2 linked regions of the Danio rerio genome follow. The protein of the gene in region 1 interacts with the protein of each later gene in a pairwise test. Links are inferred from orthologs where the notes say so. Each region holds a gene or a part of one and is shown in the gene's direction. Other genes may lie near its edges.

Region 1 (3,500 bases):
GACTGTGTCTCATTTTCACCTTAACACTGAGTTGTTAGAAGCATTGACCTGTGTGCTTTATTGTACTGTCACTGATGATCTTCTGTAATGAATAATACATGACATCTGTTCAAATGTATGATCAGTCTCCAGCTGAACATGAATGTTTGTGGATTTGTTTTGCAGGCAATGGACTGAAAATGCTAATGAGAAGAGCACTTAAACTAAAGGACCCACTGCTAATGAAAATGATTAGGAACATCTCACAACACGATGGACCTCTGAAACAGCTGTTCATTGTAAGTACATTATTTCTGACAATTCTACAAAAAATACTTATTAGCATATTAATCATGTGATTACAATGACTTTTATCATTCACTTTTAAATGAAAAACTATTAATTCTGTGGAACACAAGAGATCGTGAATACAATTCAAATGTAAAATCAGGGCTGCGCAATATATAGTTTCAGCATCAATATTACATTTTGTACATTCTCAGTAGTCGCATCGCAGGATGTTCAACATTGAGTCTGGATTATAATTGATTAGCAACAAAGTTTAGAACATGTGAGATTTGTGGAGTTACTGCACAGTTTAACCATGAAAGAGTGAAAGTTTATCATTTGTTTTAAGGCCTGTGACTGTGAGAATTTCAGAAGTTTAAAGCATTTAGGCAAAACAAATTGTAACATTTGTAACTTTAAGGAAGGTTTTATACAATGAAGACCATGTTATTTCACATTTGATTATTCAATTTCTTTAACTAAATACTGTGTACTCCCCCAGAAAACAATAAAGCACTATTTATTACACAATTATTTTTGTATCTACTTGTAACACATGGTGAAACTGTATTCACATTGCAATATATATCGCAGAAAAACAAAATTTTACAAAGTATTACAATGCCAAAAATGTTTTCAATGTTGTGCAGCGCTATTTAAAATATTTACAAAATATGTTATATGTATATTGACAGCAAAAAAAAAATTGTAATTTACTGTTTTAATGATGATTTGGTGTTGTGTACTCTTCAGGACTATGTGGGTGATCTGGCAGCTCAGATCAAGAAAGAGGGGGATGAGGAGTTTGTTATTGAGTGTTTGGGCACAATGGCAAACCTCACCATACCTGACCTGGACTGGGAGCTTCTACTGAAAGAATACAACCTGGTGCCCTTCCTTAAAGACCACCTCAAACCAGGTACAGTTAACATGAGCCTTATGTGTTTGATGTAAAAGACAGCACAGATACAATTGTTAAGGTTATTAGGGAAATCTGCTCTTTATGAAAGGTTCAACTCTGTTTCAAGGGACAAATGGTGCTCAATAATAGGTGTAGCTTCTCCTGCTGCATCTCACACAAAAGCAGCAGTGACAGACAAAAAGAAAGCAGTTCTCCCTTACTTAATATTTGTTGTGGAGTTAATTCAAGCCTTTCTGGAATAATGAGTCACACACATTGTCCTTACAAAATATGCACACACACATACACACGTTTAGCTGTGCACTGTTTTTGCACGGCAAATGTGACATGATACACGTTAGTATCCACTGGACGCCCATTATGCTAATGTACAAAATAAACATTAGATAGAATCGTCTTCTTTTATAATTGTACTGACACTATGTGGCTGCGGTAATGAATTATGTAGCGATTTTACTGTCTATTACAAACTGATGATCACAGAGAGCTGAACAGATCTTTTAATCCTGGTTGCTTTTTGCACATGCTGTGCTGTCTTGATATGATTACAGGCGTTACTGTAGAGACATGTTCATATGTGGCTGTTTATCAATTCAGCGGGTGTTGAAAAACGCACTCCTATGTTACATTGTGGTGGGCCTCTAAATGGGAGAGATTTGGATTCTATTTTAACGTCAGGAAATTAAAAAAAGACCTATTGCGTTGATATTACCACAATATGACTGTTGACTTACTATACCTACACACAGCTCTGTCCAAACAGCTAACAAAAGATGATTTTCATCATAGGTGCCCTTTAAATTTAACAGCATTCAGAATCAATATTCAGTGTAGAAAAAAGTGGAGCTAAAATGGAAGTGTGTGTGTATTTATATTTATATATATGTATATATATATATATATATATATATATATATATATATATATATATATATATATAATATAGTGACTCTAAATGTAATAAATATAGTGAATGTCTCTATAAAACAACATTTAGCCTAAGTAAACTTGAGTAAACTGAGTCTAGTTGTCTGTAAAAAATGATATAGAGATCATTTTTAATTTTAATTTTTTTTTAAAGTGTGACTTTCTGAAGCATGTGAAAGGACATTTCTTGTTTAAGCAGTACAACGCATCTTTTTTCATCATGTCACACAGTATTTGACCTTTGTTCTCTGTGTGTTTCAGGCTCAGCAGAGGATGATATGATCCTGGAGGTGGTTATCATGATCGGTACGGTTTCAATGGACGACTCCTGTGCCGTCATGCTGGCGAAATCCGGAATCATTCCTGCTCTTATTGAACTACTCAACGGTAAGAGCTCTGCCAGCCTTTACATACATTTATTATCACAGAGCCAGTGCTCAAAGAAAACAAAACTGATCTCCAAATCTTTTTCATTATCGCTAGCCGTAAAAACAAATTCCAGAGGAAAAGATCAACAGTGTTTGGATTTCAGCTTTTGTTTGACCCTCCTGCTTTGCGTGTCTGTAGCCTCTCAAGTACCAGATTTCAATTTGGCGTGCTTTGTCTTGCCTAATGGGATCTGATGAATAGTTTATTTAGACTAAACTAATATTAAATTAAAATGAATTAGAATAAATAAACAGGCCTTAGTCATATTGTGTGCTGGGAAGTGACAGTGTCTTCAGGAACAGGAAAGCGCCGGGCTCATGGCATGCATCACATTTGCTGGATCTGCTCAATATGAGCGCTCATTTCAATAAATGCCTGATGGCAGGGCTCGTCCTTGCCATGGAAAGAAGTAATGTTTTAGAGGCTTGGGAGGTGGTGAGCTAAAGGCCAAATAATGTTTTTTTTTTTTTTTTACTGTTAGTGGACTCTGAAGTGGACTTCATTTGATTATTTGACATTTTAAGTGAGAGTCATTTCTGAAGGGAGCAAACAAATTAAGTGCATCCCAAATTCCATGCTTATGCTTGGTTCAACACCATTTTGTAATATATATAGTATAAGTAGTGTATTCACACTGACAATTCTATAAATAGTATGTGCCATTTTAATTCTTGGATGATATATTTATTCAACCAATAAAATTAAGTGTTAATAGTTGAACAGTCAATGGTCACAGCTTTGATAACAGAGCAGAAGTGGAGGAGCTATCAGGTGCTGAGATTGGATTACTTTATTTTGGATTGTGCAAGCAACATGATCTAACAGAGATTACACCGCCTCCCCTACCAATGTTAAATGCAGTTGAATTGAGGTATTATTTATTAGTTTGGTGATTTATTTCACTAATTTAGCAACTGTTAAATGCTGTCTTGGAAATTGCTTGAATTTGTGGTTA
Region 2 (4,034 bases), on another chromosome or scaffold:
CAAAATTTAATCTAGAAGTTTGGTGTTACGGTCACGTCATGTGCAATTATACTTGCAAAATAAATAAAATTATGTTTTACTGTGCTTCAAAGTGAAGTTGGAGTAATAAAGGAGTCTATTTAACAATTTGAACGACGTAACATTTTTAATTTAATAAGTTAAAATAATAGTGTTAGGTTATTTAAAAAAGGGTCAATTCAGTTTCAAATAGTATTGTTTGTTAGTAATGTACATTATTATACAAGTTCACTTAGCATACATAAAGTACACTTAAAATACTTGATCTTTAAGTACAATTTATTTGCACCTTATTGGCACACTTTTGAATTCATTCATTCATTTTCTTTTCAGCATAGTCCCTTTATTCATCAGGGGTTGCCACAGCAAAATGAACCGCCAACTTATCCAGCATATATTTTATGCATTGGATGCCCTTCCAGCCACAACCCAACACTAGGAAACGCCCATATAGGACAGCCAATTTATTCATTCATTCATTCCTCTACCTTTCGGCTTAATCTGAGGTCGCCACAGCAGAATGAACGGCCAACTTATCCAGCATATGTTTTACACAGTTTGTTCCTTTCTCTCTGCAACCCAGTACTGGCAATCATCTATACACACTCATTCACACACATACACCATACCCAATTCACCTGTACAACATGTCTTTGGACTGTGGGGGAAACCGGACCACCCGGAGGAAACCCACCTGAACATGGGGAGAACATGCAAACTCCACACAGAAATGCCTACTGACCCAGCCAAGGCTTAAACCCTCAACTTTCTTTCTGTGAGGCGATCGTGCTACCCACTGCGCCACTGTGATGCCACCTTTGAATTCATACAAGCAAAATCATTCTGAAGTCTATTCTTATTGTTTTTTTAAAACAGAAATTGTTCAACCTTGACCTCCTGTTTCTCAGTGCTATAAATATGAGAAAAGGCCATGCTCTATTATGTGAAATTAAGGTGTCAAGAGGTCAAGCTGCATGATCTGTTACAAACATCTGATTTCCCACAAAGGGTTTAAATTTAGGCAGAAGTCTAAAATCAGTTAATCATGGCTTTAAAATCGAAGATATAACAGGGACAATAACTCCACAAATGTGGACTTACTCAACTGGCAAATGCAAATCCAGAAGCAAGTGAAGCTGATCACTTCCTCTCTCAGAGCAGAGGCTGGGGGTTGTTCTCTTTCAGACTGCCTCTGCTCAGTTCACAACAGAGACGAGCAGCATTCATGTGTTCACTGCTCACCGTGTTTTGAGGGAGCATGTCCTTCGTAAGCACCCTTCGCCAGTGGGATGAGGCCGTGGCTTGTGTGGAGCAAAGAGACCCAGACGCTGCTCTCAGGATATTCCTCAGTATCGAGGAGAAAAACTCCAAGATCGCTTTCAACATCGGCTGTCTTTGTCTGAACAACAGTGACTTAGATGAAGCTGAAAAGGTACTCTTGTATGGCTGAATCAATGTTTTATACTACTTGATGTTTGAATTGTATTTTGAAAGTCTAAAATATTTGTGGCTGTAAAAAGGAAGTAAAAGTAGTTTTATTCTTTATGGGAAATGTATTTCTGTTTCACACCTGCAGGCTTTTGATGGAAGCATTGGCAAAGATGAACACCTGGCCGTGGCCTTTTTTCAGAGAGGAGTTACATTTTATAAAAAGGAAAAGTAAGATCATTACCTCTTGTCATGACACTTTAAAGGACAGTTCACCCAAATGTTTCTATTAAACACAAAGGAAGATAAACTGAAGACAGTTGAAAAAAAATCAGCCATTGACTTCCATACTATTTTACTATGGATATGCCTATCGGTTTCTTCAGAACATCTTTTTTTGTGTACAACAGAAGTTTGGAATCACTTGAGCGTGAGTAAATGACGAGAATTTAAATTTAAATTTGGTGAACCATCCTATTAAGTAAACGTTTTATGCTGTTCTGATGGCTCAAGGTACTTAAAAGAGTGGTCTAGAGTGTATTTTTAAGGCTTGGATGTGTTTATAAGAAGCAAAGCAATGTGTGATCATGCTTGATTTGTAGAAAATCACATTATTTTTCATATATCTTAATTATACGCTAATACTCAGCTAACATGAAAATGCCCGCCCTCAAGAGGCTCTGATTGGTCAGCTAACATAATGTGCATAATTTGCAAACCAGGAAAAGCATCACGCCTTTAATACTGCACGCTGTGTCTCTGCTTTGTAAATACTGTCGGTCAGAGCCAAATCAGTTTGAGCCTGAATCAAACAGAAAATGAAGAGGACACAGCAGAACCTTACGCCTGCTCTCTAAAATAAAATCTAACAAGTGTCTTTCACATATATTCAGAATAAGCATGTGTGTAATTAATATGAAACATTTGCATATTTTTTGCAAGTTTGTTATTTCAGATGTAGAACACAGGGAAAGCGTCCACATGGAGTTACACTGTAGCGCTGCAAAAGATTGTGACTGTTTACAGAGATTTGATGGAGAAATATGAATTTGTAGCTAAATTGTTAGCGGTTTACATCCTCACTACAACATAATGTTAACGCTTAAAACTGTGCATGTAATAGATCAGTTTTCTCAAATAAAAACACTTACAGGTTGTGGCTCTCAAACCACAGCTTCTTTGATTATGGTTGGAGCTGCTGGTTGGTTTTTAGCCGAACCAGCACTGAACTGGGAGAGATTCAGGAAGTTCTCCTTTGTCAAATGCTAGAGCTATATATTTTCATAATTTTCTGGAATTCCTTGTGCCGTGTCCTTTGGAAGCTTAAATACAGTAACAGAAGATGCTCTGTGAAAATTGCAGTTATTGGATGGCATTTTATCTCTTTTTGCTGTAACATACAGCGCCTCTGGCCACGCCCATTCGCTCTGCAGGGTAAATGCATGTAACCTGAAGCATTTGTGATCTCACTAACCTGGATTTTATTTTTATTTTTTGTAGTCCTCAAATTTTGTTCAATGTCGGCTTTGCTAAGCTAACTCTGTAAAAGCCAATGTCTCTCTTTGCATTGAGCGTATTACAGTCAGAGATGTTGTTTATGTTCACACAGCTACATTACACATCAATTAAAGTTTAAAATGTGATATAGTAGTGGACCGCCGCTTTAAGAGCCGATCACAAAATATCTCATTCCACTTTTAATAAACTGATGATCCTAACCTTCTCTCCAGGTTTGAAGAGTCTCTTCTGGATTTCCAACAAGCATTTAAGCAGTTACGAGGGAATCAACTAATTGATTACACACCTCTGGGGCTGAGATATAAACTTTATGCTTGTGAGGCAAGTCCAGATATTTTTTCAACTTTACTGACTTATTAATAGTTGTGATGTGAGTGACATTTTACACGTCTCCATTTCTGACTTGATGGTTTTTCACAAGAGTTTTCTCCTATATTGCAACATCTGACATTAACAGTCACCTCAGTTCATTCTCTAAAGCAGTCTTTTTGTCTTGTGTAATATTAAGGTGCTGCACAACATTGGACTGGCACAGGCGCAGTTGGGAAAATGGGAAAAAGCTCAAGAGAACCTTCTCACTGCTCTGAGCTTGAGAGCAGATGCCAAGTTCAGCCATATTGATCATGCGCTGGATGCCATTCTGGTCTGTATCTGCTTAACTTTCATTATCATAAACATGATTATCAGTTGCTAGGACTCATAAATTAAATTCCTGTTTTAATTTACAAGTTGGCCCTGAAAGTCATTGAATTATATGTTGACCTAATACTCTGTGGTTCATCTCAAACGTTTTGGTTGTTATATGAGGCAACGAAAGCTTGTTCTTTCGTAACTTGTCTAAAAAGTGGTTATGTTTGGTTTGTTTCACAATCAGAGGTTCTGGTTAGATTTTGAGGGAAGTTGTGTAAGTTTCAGAAAGGTCAAAATTCACGAGACAGATGATTTATACTCCGATATCCTTACATAAGTCATCCTTCTAGTAAAATGAACATCATTCTTTGTACGCATTTTACAGACAAAGTAAATTGTGAAAGTATGAGTCAAGGAAACACCAGAAAACACAGTAAAAG

Evidence for each region. The genes of interacting proteins can lie anywhere in the genome.
Region 2: the proteins of kifap3b (region 1) and ncf2 interact in binary tests that used the Homo sapiens proteins (3 or more experiments, as listed by UniProt). The two-hybrid records come from large-scale screens. The link is inferred for Danio rerio from reciprocal best matches to the Homo sapiens genes KIFAP3 and NCF2.

Annotation. Positions count from the first base shown.
Region 1 is NC_133177.1:26,583,510-26,587,009, forward strand, and holds part of kifap3b (kinesin-associated protein 3b), read left to right. Parts: intron 1-165; coding exon 166-278; intron 279-1,020; coding exon 1,021-1,186; intron 1,187-2,377; coding exon 2,378-2,503; intron 2,504-3,500. UniProt on the Homo sapiens protein: Involved in tethering the chromosomes to the spindle pole and in chromosome movement. Binds to the tail domain of the KIF3A/KIF3B heterodimer to form a heterotrimeric KIF3 complex and may regulate the membrane binding of this complex.
Region 2 is NC_133182.1:41,684,690-41,688,723, reverse strand, and holds the start of ncf2 (neutrophil cytosol factor 2), read left to right. Parts: upstream 1-1,234; 5' UTR 1,235-1,276; coding exon 1,277-1,450; intron 1,451-1,594; coding exon 1,595-1,677; intron 1,678-3,176; coding exon 3,177-3,285; intron 3,286-3,472; coding exon 3,473-3,607; intron 3,608-4,034. UniProt on the Homo sapiens protein: Subunit of the phagocyte NADPH oxidase complex that mediates the transfer of electrons from cytosolic NADPH to O2 to produce the superoxide anion (O2(-)).